Mus musculus: one gene and its partner. The protein of the gene in region 2 interacts with the protein of the main gene of each other region in a pairwise test. Links are inferred from orthologs where the notes say so. Each region holds a gene or a part of one and is shown on either strand. Other genes may lie near its edges.

Evidence for each region. The genes of interacting proteins can lie anywhere in the genome.
Region 1: the proteins of Lrrc7 (region 2) and Nqo2 interact in a two-hybrid assay, tested with the Homo sapiens proteins (2 studies listed by BioGRID). The two-hybrid records come from large-scale screens. The link is inferred for Mus musculus from reciprocal best matches to the Homo sapiens genes LRRC7 and NQO2.

Annotation. Positions count from the first base shown.
Region 1 is NC_000079.6:33,980,149-33,985,799, reverse strand, and holds part of Nqo2 (ribosyldihydronicotinamide dehydrogenase [quinone]), read right to left. Parts: intron 4,376-5,651; coding exon 4,262-4,375; intron 3,353-4,261; coding exon 3,251-3,352; intron 485-3,250; coding exon 308-484; 3' UTR 1-307. UniProt on the Homo sapiens protein: The enzyme apparently serves as a quinone reductase in connection with conjugation reactions of hydroquinones involved in detoxification pathways as well as in biosynthetic processes such as the vitamin K-dependent gamma-carboxylation of glutamate residues in prothrombin synthesis.
Region 2 is NC_000069.6:158,162,003-158,167,653, forward strand, and holds part of Lrrc7 (leucine-rich repeat-containing protein 7), read right to left. Parts: intron 2,385-5,651; coding exon 2,273-2,384; intron 2,071-2,272; coding exon 1,890-2,070; intron 1-1,889.

The sequences.
Region 1 (5,651 bases), on a different chromosome or scaffold from region 2:
GAGGCCATTTCCTTCTCTTTGTAGAGAAGCAATTCCCACTGCCCTGGTTTATAATATAGAAAACTATGCTACAAAAGTAGAAATTTTAGAGAAACATTAAAGAACTGAAAAATGAATGAATGACCAGGTAGAACTAATACAGTGCAACAAGCTGACTTTTGAAATATCTGAACTAGTTGTATTAAACTGAAGACACTCATTGGTGGGCACTGTTAAATACATCTCAGGATACAACACCACCTTCTCTTTGCACATGCTGTAGGTCTCTCACTGTGTTGCTTGTCAGCTGTACTCAGAGCACAAAATGTTACTCTTGGAAGTACCAAGGGGGTGTGCAGTGGATGGGTTCTTCCTTCCAGATGCTCTTCAGCCGCTGGGCCCATGATGCCAGCATCACTTTCCTTTCTTCTTCTGATGAAACATCAAGACCAAAACTGATCTGGGGGGCAAGGACTTTAAATCCACAGAAGTGCAGTGTACCATGCTGAAGCCAGAAAGAAAAGAAATAATCATAACCACACTCTTTATGTACATTCAGTTAAACTAGTAGAGGGGGAAATTGTGTGATTAAGCTTTAAAAATTATGAAACAATGCTACAAAGTAGTTGATAACAACCCTCTTCTGGATAGCTGCAGGATAGAGTGCTTCATTAGCAGAAGAACCTGGCAGCTGGAATTTACAGACAGATCTCTACTAATGAATCCACCACTAAGCAGAGTTTTGATGGATTTGGCAAACTATGATATTTTTCCAAATATGCTATTTGCAAATATATTTGTCAAAATATGTTATTATATATTCAGTGCTAAGCACAGAGAGGTTATTTTAGCTATGATGTGCTGCTGTTGACCATACTGGTTAAATCAAAACAAATTTTATGCAATATTTGTTGTATACTACTTATGTAGAATAATAATAAATAAGGCTCTATCTAGGCCATTAGGAAATAAATTACAAGTAATTCTAGAAGTGTAGATTAAGTGGACTTTTAATTTTTTAAATTATGTTTACCGTTACTTTTACTTTATGTTATTATAAACTGGGGTAAAATACATGTTTTTAAAACAAGATTTAAGATTAGTCAAGGACATATGTGAGAATGGCTAGCCTTCAGAGAGGGAAGCTCACAGATTGTAATTGACCTTAATGGAGTACCACTAATCCACTAACTGGAATCATCTTTCAAAACAAGCCTACTTTCTCCCTAGAAATATCACACTTGGTCTTTTGCACTATGCTTTTAAAAACTCACATGCGCCGGGTGTGGTGGCACACGCCTTTAATCCCAGCCCTCGGGAGGCAGAGGCAGGCGGATTTCTGAGTTTGAGGCCACCCTGGTCTACAAAGTGAGTTCCAGGACAGCCAGGACTATACAGAGAAATCCTGTCTTGAAAAAACAAACAAACAAAAACAAACAAACAAACAAACAAACAAAAAACCCAACTCACATGCTCATCCAAGCCTTCCCTATCAGGTGGAGTTAGAGGACAAAAAGCCCACATATATGTTTTTATATTACTTTCCCTCAGATGTTATGATTTATTGAAAATCAGTTCTTAAAAATCCATTACTGGGGACTGGAGAAATGGTTCAGCAGTTAAGAGTCCTCAGTGGGTGTCTCTTGTGAGACTATCCCGGGGCCTAGCAAACACAGAAGTGGATGCTCACAGTCAGCTATTGGATGGAACACAGGGCCCCTAATGGAGGAGTACCCAAGGAGCTAAAGGGGTCTACAACCCTATAGGTGGAACAACAATATGAACTAACCAGTACCCCCTGGAGCTGTGTCTCTAGCTGCATATGTATCAGAAGATGGCCTAGTCGGCCATCACTGGGAAGAGTGGCCCATTGGTCTCAAAAACTTTATCTGCCTCAGTACAGGGGAACACCAGGGCCAAGAAGTGGGAGTGGGTGGGTAGGGGAGTGGGGGGGGGAGGGTATGGGGGACTTTTGGGATAGCATTGAAAATGTAAATGAAGAAAATACCTAATAAATTAAAAAAAAAGAGACTCCTCAGTGGGTATGGCAGCATTGATCCGTAACCCCAGTATATGTCGGGAGAAGAGCAAAGGCAGGCAGATCCTGGGACTCACTAGCCATGCAGTCAAGCCAAATCAGCAAGCACCATGGTCAATGAGAGATGTAATCTCAAAAAATAAGGTAGAAAGTGATCAAGGAATTTATTTGAAACTGACCTCTAGCATTCACACATGCATGTATGGGCAAGTGCATACACACACACACACACACACACACACACACACACACACACACACACACACTTCCATAACACAAACATGAGAACAAACAACAAAGGCAAGGAATGAACTTAAATACATACTATCTATATAAAGAAAACTCTTACTGCTCAGTCAGGCCTCAAGCTTGTGTAGCTGAGGATAACTCTGAACTTCTGAGCCTCCTGCCTCCACCTCCCAAGTGATGATTATGGGCATGCACTACCACAACTAGCTTAGAGGAAGCTGGAGCTCAAATTCTACTAGGCATGGTATACACTCAGCACTCGCTCCACCACAGACGCATACCTGCAGCTTCTGTCCACGATGTCTACGTTGACAAAAGCAATCTCTCTAACTATTAAGTACAAGCTTTCCTCATAAGTGTAGTACATCCATTTAGGTTTCAAGGACTCCTAAGAGTCTTTGCCCTGAAGTCTGCCCTTTGTTCTCTGTCCTTCATCAGGAAGTTCCATGCACATGGGCATCTTAGCCTGCTGGAACTCACTCTTTCATCACCTTTCTCTTCTATAAAGGGCTATTCAGCTACTCATCTATCTAGGTTGTTCAGAGGCTCAGGTGAAGCTATCCATATCACAGGGTCTATGGTACCCCTCACCAAGGCTAAGGAGTGTTGCTAGCTTTGTAGATCATTGTAAGTCTGGAAAGGGCTCTCTAGGCCTTGCTGTTGCTCATCACTCATACCCATACACCTGGTCCCACCTCAGGGCCATCACAATCCCCAGAAAACAGACAGCAGGCTAACTAGGTTTGGCTTAACTTTGAGTCAAACATTATCAAAAGTTGTATGTTCTCCCTCTTAGCCAGCCTTTAAACTGCTATCAATTTAAAAAATAAAATAAGGATAAAATGTTATTATTTTCTCTATCTAGTTGGGAGTCAAAATGATACGGAGTGTCAAGCTTATAAGACATATGTGCATGTATGTGTATGTAGGGTGCAGGGTGAGGAATTGTCCAGTGGGCCAGCAAAGTAGAGAAGGCATGTTTACCTGAAGTGGCCACAGGAAGTACCGGAAATCTCCACTGACCCCATCTTTTGTGTACATCTCCGCTGTACCTCCCGTGGTTAAGGAAAGGAGAGCTAATTTACCCTACAAGCAGGGGAGAAAGTAAATGCATAATGTGACTACAAGAAGAGGAAACTGTGCTCCTATGGTGCAGTACAGAGGTTTATGATGGCCAGAAGGGAGTCTGGGGTCAGGTTTTTTCCAGGGTAGACAGACGTAATCCTCCCATGTCCCATGGGCCTATTTAAAGATGATAACTAATGCCCTAACAGGGATGGGGACAGAGCAGGCAGCAAAGGGACAAGTGAACATCAAACTTCTAACATACAGGACTTCTCAGGGAACTAGGTTTCAGAGACACAATGAGACAGACCTGAGATACTGACCACAGGGCTAATGGAAAGGTGATAGTGCTTACACAGGATGATTGTGCCATGAAGGTCAGCATCTTGGTTACCTGGTTCATTTTCATCATATACATTTAATTTCTGAAATTTTTAGAATTTAAAGCCATTTGCTTAGCAGAACATTCTCTCAATAAGATACAGATATTATTCATGATACCTACCAGGTTTCACACCCTTTCCTACAATATAGGAACTGTGTGATTACCAGCCCCCCAGGGTAAGCATATGGACCCAAAGGTGTCAACTGGTATACAAGACCAGCCAGACTGTCACAGAGTTGGTACTCTGGCACTGGGGCTGATAAAGGTACTGTCCATGTCATTTGCCCTTGCTGAGTACTCTGCCCATACTTTCTTTGCCTTGTGTGTAGATTAGTGTGGATGGATAACCCCCCACTATCAAAAAGCTCTGTGAATTAAAAAAGGATGTACTTGTCATCCATAAGGTGTGTTGTGCAGAATTAACTGCTTAATGAATATTTACATATCTAATGCAAAAATTCAAATTAGAAATATAAATTAATAGATGTCCTCAATTTCCTTCCATTGGACAGATCTGTAGTGATCCTTATCTCCAGAGAACATACCTTGAGAAAACCAGAGTCATAAAAGCCTGGGATATCAAAGGCAAACCCTCGGCACAGCACCCTATCCATCCAACCTTTTAGGATTGCTGGAACGCTGAACCAGTATAGTGGAAACTGGAGATGGAACAAGCAGAGACAAATTATGCCCTATCAGGATTCATACTTTAGTTCCACTGATCTCTCCTCCGATAGCACCCAGTAGGCAAAGGTAGCCTACAGGATCAGCCTAGTGGGGACACAACATGGGCACAGTGGGGAGAAGGGTAGAGATGACTATGGTACTGAGGAAGTGTGCTGGATAGCTTTATGTCAGTTTGACAAAAGTTAAAGACATCTGAGAGGAGGGAGCCCAATCAAAAACATGCTTCCATAAGATGAGGTTGTAGGCAAGTCTGTAGGCATTTTCTTAATGAGTGATCAAAGTTCTGACTATTGTGGGTGGTACCATCCTTGCGCTGGTGATTCTGAGTTGTATAAGAAAGCAGGCTGAGCAAGCCACATGGAGCAAACCAGTTAGCAGCAGCACTCCTTTGTGACCTCTGAACTAACTCCTGCCTCTATATTCTCTCCCTGTTTGAGTTCCTGTCCTGACTTCTTCAGTGATAGTCTATGGATGTGGAAGTGTAAGCCAAATCAGCCCTTTCCCCCCTCAATTTGCTTTTGGTTATGGTGTTTTGTCACAGCAATAGTAACCCAAACTAAGATAGGAGGTAAAAACAGAGACTGTGGGTCGTTGAAGTCCTTGTGTGATGGAAATCTGGGGAGAGCAAAGCTCTCCAGAAGTGCTGCCATGGCCATTCTCGTCCAAAGGACTCAGGTTGAGCAGAACCCTTATATACTGAGTTTGACATATTTCAGTCAATGTAACAACACTAAGTGGATGCTCACAGTCATCTATTGGATGGAACACAGGGCCCCCAATGGAGGAGCTAGAGAAAGTACCCAAGGAGCTGAAGGGGTCTGCAACCCTATAAGAGGAACAACAATATGAACTAACCAGTATCCCCAGAGCTCGTGTCTCTAGCTGCATATGTAGCAGAAGATGGCCTAGTCAGCCATCATTGGGAGGAAAGGCCCTTGGTCTTGTAAAGATTATATGCCCCAGTACAGGGGGATGCCAGGGCCAGGAAGTGGGAGTGGGTGGGTTGGGGAGCAGGGCAGGGGGAGGGTATAGGGGACTTTCAGGATAGCATTTGAAATGTAAATGAAGAAAATATCTAATAAAAATTGTTTTTGAAAAAAAGGAGCACATGCTTATATGACTACCCAGATTGTTATAGGTACATGTTAACTCCACCCTGTCCAGTTCTGGCAGGAGTGGCCATATTGAATTAGTGCTCCTAGAAGTCAATTTGTTGGTCTAGTTCCTTATATAGCAGCTTCTTGGGAA
Region 2 (5,651 bases):
TTTCTTTGTGTAGCTCATTTATCCCCACCTGGCTTATGGTTAAAGTCACATTATTTCACCACAATCCAAAAAAAAAAAAAAATTCTCAGTTTAACCGGCTCTGACTTTCATATCTTCTGAGTAAACATGGCCTTGTAGCACACTGCCTAGTGTACTATTGTATACTATCTTAGGTCCTTCCATAGAAAGCAAACATGTGGAGGGAGGTCCTCTTTCTGGGCTCAGGATAGATATTGGCTAAATGAGTGATTGAATGAAGAATGTACTCTTTCAACCATGGTTCTGAAGAGTGACTGGCAAGGGGATTTCCCCTGCTTTTCTCTAGAATTTCTGACTCACAACACTTCTAAGCCACCAAATGAAAGAATTTAAAAATGCTGGCATTTCTAATCAGTACAAGCTGTCTTCAGATAAGATCAAGTCTCCAGTTTTATTTTATTTATTTCATTAATTTGTGGGGGCTGGGAGACCCTCTAGAAAGTCCCAGAGACCTGGACATGAGAGATTCCCAGGGCTCAATGGGGATGACCTTAGCCAAAATACCCAACTGTTGGGAGAGGGAACCTGAAGAGATCATCTCCAGTAGATAGTCAGGGCCCCAAGTGGACTGATGGGGTTACTGACCTAGAATTATTCCTGTCTAAAAGAAATATAGGGACAAAATTGGAGCAGAGACTGATGGAAAGCCTGTTCAGTGAACAGCCCAATTTGGGATCCATCGCATGGGGGGTGGGGTGGGGGGAGCAGGGACACCAAAGCCTAACTATTACTGATGGTATGTTGTGCTTACAGATAGGAGCTTATCATGGCTGTCCTCTGAGAGGCCCTACTAGCAGCTGACTGAGACAGATGCAGACACTTATAGCTAACCATTAGATTGAGGTTAGGGACCTCTATGGAAGAGTTAGGGGAGGAATTGAAGGAGCTGAAGGGGGTGGCAACCCCATAGGAAGACTAACAATCTCAACTAACCCAGACACCTGGGATCTCCCAGAGACTAAGCCACCAACCAAAGAGCATACACAGGCTGGTCCGAGGCCTCTGGCATATATGTAGCAGAAGACTGCTTTGTCTGGCTTCAGGTGGAGAGGATGTGTCTAATCCTGCAGAGACTTGAGGCCTCAGAGAAGGGGAATTCCTGGGTAGAGAGTGGTGCACCTTCTCAGAGGCAGAGGGGAGGGCGAGTGGGAAGAAGAATTGTGGGAGGGGGCAACATCTGGAATGTAGATAAATAATTAATTAAAAAATAGCATAAAAAGCATCTTCAGATTTGGGTGCTATTAGACTTTGTTCTAATTCGGTCCTCTCCTTTACTCTTCTTCCCTAAGTGTTCCCTTTCACTTCTTGTCACGTGTGCTGTTGCTTTCTCTTTCCTCCTCCCTTAAGATCTCTTCCTTCTTCTCACGATTTCATAGTCTTCTATTGGCCTATAGAATTCTATTGGCCTATATCAAGGGATTGTCTATCATATTGACTGTACTATGCTTGGGGCTAGTAGCACATTTGAGCCAGTGGCCACTTCCAGCATGCCTGTTTTTCCAGAGTATGTGAATTCATTTGCTAATAATGCTGAGTTATACATACTTATAATTATATATATATATATATATATATTAGGGATGGTCAAACACAAATTTTCACTTTCAAGCTTTTAGTTCCCACTGTGACTTCCCATAGCCTCTTCCCACTGGCCTTGCATGGATGCCAGGCCCTGGAAGTTGGTTTTGATGCCCTCCAAAGTCCCAGGTGAGCCCACATGCTTACCTGCATATTCTGTGTTCTGTGCAACTCACATGCCAAACACAATTCCAACATAAAGCAGATTCCACTTTGTCAAAATTGCTGACAACGAACATTTGGGAACCCAGAAGGGGAAATTCTCAACACACCTGTTACCCCACAAAGAGTTATGGACGGCATCTTTAGCTGTTGCCTGCAAGGACCCCACTTTCATCCGGGTGTTAGAGGATGCCGAGGAAGCTTGGGAGGGCGAGTAGTCTGAGTAGGTGCCTGAGGAGACACTGTTATTCAGACAGTGAGTTTTGTCAACTTCAGACTCATCAGTTGATTCTGAAATTTAAAGGGGAAACATGTTACAATGCTACGAACACTGACGGATACAAAAGATGTATGAAAAGCAGATTCCATATGGATTAATGTCAGAAGCACACGTGTGCGAGTACTTATAGACTATGGCATGTCATAATGTATAAGTGGCGATTTATCATGCACATGCATCGGGCACAGTTCCACATCGGCTTCACGATGTTACCTTTTTTGTCCTTCCCTAGCAGAACAAGTTTGGGTGGGTACAGAGGGGTCTCAGCTAATGAAGGGTGAAGTTCCCCAATCCTCATTTCATTAGCTGGATGAACAAAAGAATCCTGAGAGATATAATAATACAGGACAAGGAAAGTAAACATTTAAATAACGGTTAACCAAGATGGCAATATCTTATTTGGCTCAGACTCAAAGATGCGGCCCTAGACTTTAATTCACCACGGGGCATTGCAAAATAACCTCTGTGTCTGTAATTGAGCACTAATTATTTTTCTAATTTATATGAGCCCATTTATTCATTAGATGTGTTTTTGGATGCAATTTGTATGCCTGGCACTGTGCAAAGAACTGTGGAGGTTTCCCAGAAAGATACAACATGGTCCTCTGGGAATTTCCAATCTAATTGAGATGGAACAGAACTCATTTCAACACGGCATTGAATTATGCTGCGCCCTCCACAGGCAGTGTGGCTCAGTCATAGATATTGGATGTGAGAATTCTAGAGGCCGAACTCCCATGAGTTCCAAGTAGGAAGGGCATTGCTGACCAGTAGGATCTTTGTTCTACCCCATTACAATATCCCAGTAGTCCTGCACCCCTGCACTCCTGCAGCCCTTGCCTCTGCTTTTCAATCCCTGCTGTGTCTCAGGTGGCTGTCGGCAGTCACTGTGTGTCTGCTGTTTCTCCTTCCTGGGTTGTTAGCATTCTCATGGCCATTTTCAACCTATTTAATCTTCATTGCATATTGAATGTTGAATGTGATAAATGGCAGTGGTGCAAGAATATGACTTTATAAAAAATGAACAATATAAAAGTTCCAGAAGCTTTGAAATCCCCCCTCTTGATTTATTTCATTTTATGTGTTAGTGGTTTGCCTGCATGTACATAAATGCACTATTTGTATACAATTCCTGTGGAGGCCAGAAGAGGGCATTAGATTTCCTGGAACTGGAGTTTAACACTGTGGGTGCTGATGAACTTGGGTCCTCTGCAAAAGCAACCAGAGTTCTCAGCCATTGAGTTGTCTCATCAGTGTATAAATTCCATGAGTTTTAATTTCTAGAATTCAGATCATTTCCAATTAAACAGGTATCAGGAGAACATTAAGAAAGCTAAAATTTAAATCTCCACTTTCTATACACACAGCTGTGTCTTTTAACTTCTTTATGATAATTTGAATTCAAAGAACATTCAAGGTTTTGTTTGTGTGTTTGTTTGTTTGTGTGTGTTTGTTAATTTGGAGCACTGAACCAACACAAGTAGAGATGTTTTCTTGAATTGGAGAAGGATACACTTAGATAAAGTAGGAATTTGGAAAGATTTGTCTAGTGTTTGGTTGGTGTAATAAATGGGCAGAAACACTCAAAGGAACAGGCTATAGGTTTCTGGTCTTTCAGAAAAAACACATCCATTTCTTTAATTCTTGACTGAAACTTTTTTGTTTGAACTTGTTTTTGACAGTGTATGAGAATATTTTCTTATGAAAAACCAACATCTGACTGATACTAATCAATTTTAAAAGAATTATATTTCAAGATGAAGATGATCCTATCAATTAGTTCAACTCTTTCCCTGGACCTGGGGCACAGAAAAACACTTAAGAAAGACTCAGCGGTTCTCAATGTGGTCCTCTTGGGTTCCCACACAGCTAGTCCCCACTCCAGAGTGAGGCTCCCAATGAGACCCCCTGTATCAGGGACCTAAAGCAAATGATCTGATTCAAAAGAGATCCTAGGAGAAAAAGGGTGATGAAAAGCCTAGGGCTGAAGAGAGAAATATGAATTTCCATGGAATTTCTAAGTTCAGCACAACAAATGCACAGTAAAATTTTAAGTTGGTATAATAAAGAGTAAAAGCATGTGTATGACTTGGGAGGAATTAATAAGAAGATGCAAGCTGGAGAAGCACTTCTGTGCAAGGACCAAGACATGCTGGCCTGTCAATCACAGGGTACTGTTTCTCTGTCCTGTTTCTGCCTCATCACTTATTAATCAGGCACCTTGGGCAAGGTGAAGCATTCTCAGACCTGCATCCAACACATTCATCAGATGAAGGTGGTAGGTAATAGAATTAGTGCTAATGTCTGTCTAGTCTATGAAGGTAAAGGTAACTTATTTGTATGAAACAACTTGGGAAGGAGGCATTTTTAGATGACACCTAATACAAATCAAAGAGTTTCTTCTTTTAATAAATAGCAAAATGAAAATAAAATGAGATACAAGAACAAAATCAAGCAGTCATATCAACACAGACTGTTGACATTACTTCTTTTACCTCATGTTCTACAATTCAGTATTTAACATATTTTGCTCCTATGCGTCAGTTTTTAAAATTTGTGACCAGGGCTCTGCATGGCCCAACTAGGATATGAGTTTCTGACCCTGTTCAAAGCTGAGGAAAGCAAAGTTTCGAGGCTGCCTCCATGGTTGTAAAGCAATCAACTTTTCTAAATGGTTCATCAGAAGAAGTTCATCTAAATCTGTCTCTGGTTGAGAATGAAGTAGAGGGAGGAAAGGTGAAATGTCCTTTCTCTCTTAGTTCCACCACCCTTCCTTTATTTAAATAGAATCTTGGCTCTTAGTAACATGGAGAAAGAGAGTCCCAAGGTAAGAGTCTAGAAGAATAACAAAAATTACTGAGAAACAGAGGGCTACCTATCTAAAAAAGATATGTAGATAATACGCAAGGAATTTCTTCAATGCACAGGTGAAGAGTGGTTACACAAAGCAGCCAACAAGGACGAATCAATTCAACAAAACCTCAGAAACTCACCTGGCTTTCCATGAGCTTCTAATTGGGTGGAGAGTCCGATTATCACACTAGACTTAACTAATGAGTGTTTTATTCCACAAATATTCATTGTGTGCTTTTTATGTGCTAGATTTTGGGCATATAGATGCTCCCATCTTGTAGTTACATCTAGTAAACCCAGATTAAATTGAAAATATCATTAAGTAAAAATGCTTTTGATATTTTTAACACTTTGCATTTTACAGCCCAGCAGCCCAGCAGCCCAGCACACTGTAGTGGATGTGGTGTGTACTGATGCTGCAGCTGCTGAAGGGCATGTGGCTTGTTGAGTATGGAGAGCACATTGTTAGCCAAGCAAAAGGTCAGAATCCAAAATTGGTGTATGGTTTTTACTAAGAGCTGATGGGTTTGGCAGTAAGGCAAAGTTGAAAAACTCCAACTTGAATCATCACACACTACAAAAGATGGAAATGGCTCTTACTCTCTGAAACTGTCTGAAGCTAATATACAAAGTCATCGTAAATGTCATCATTGCATTCAATGCAAGCAAACAGAGTGATGCAGTAGAGAAAGCCAGGAGGTTAGACTGATCAGGGGTGGCCCTTTGAGATTTAAAGGCT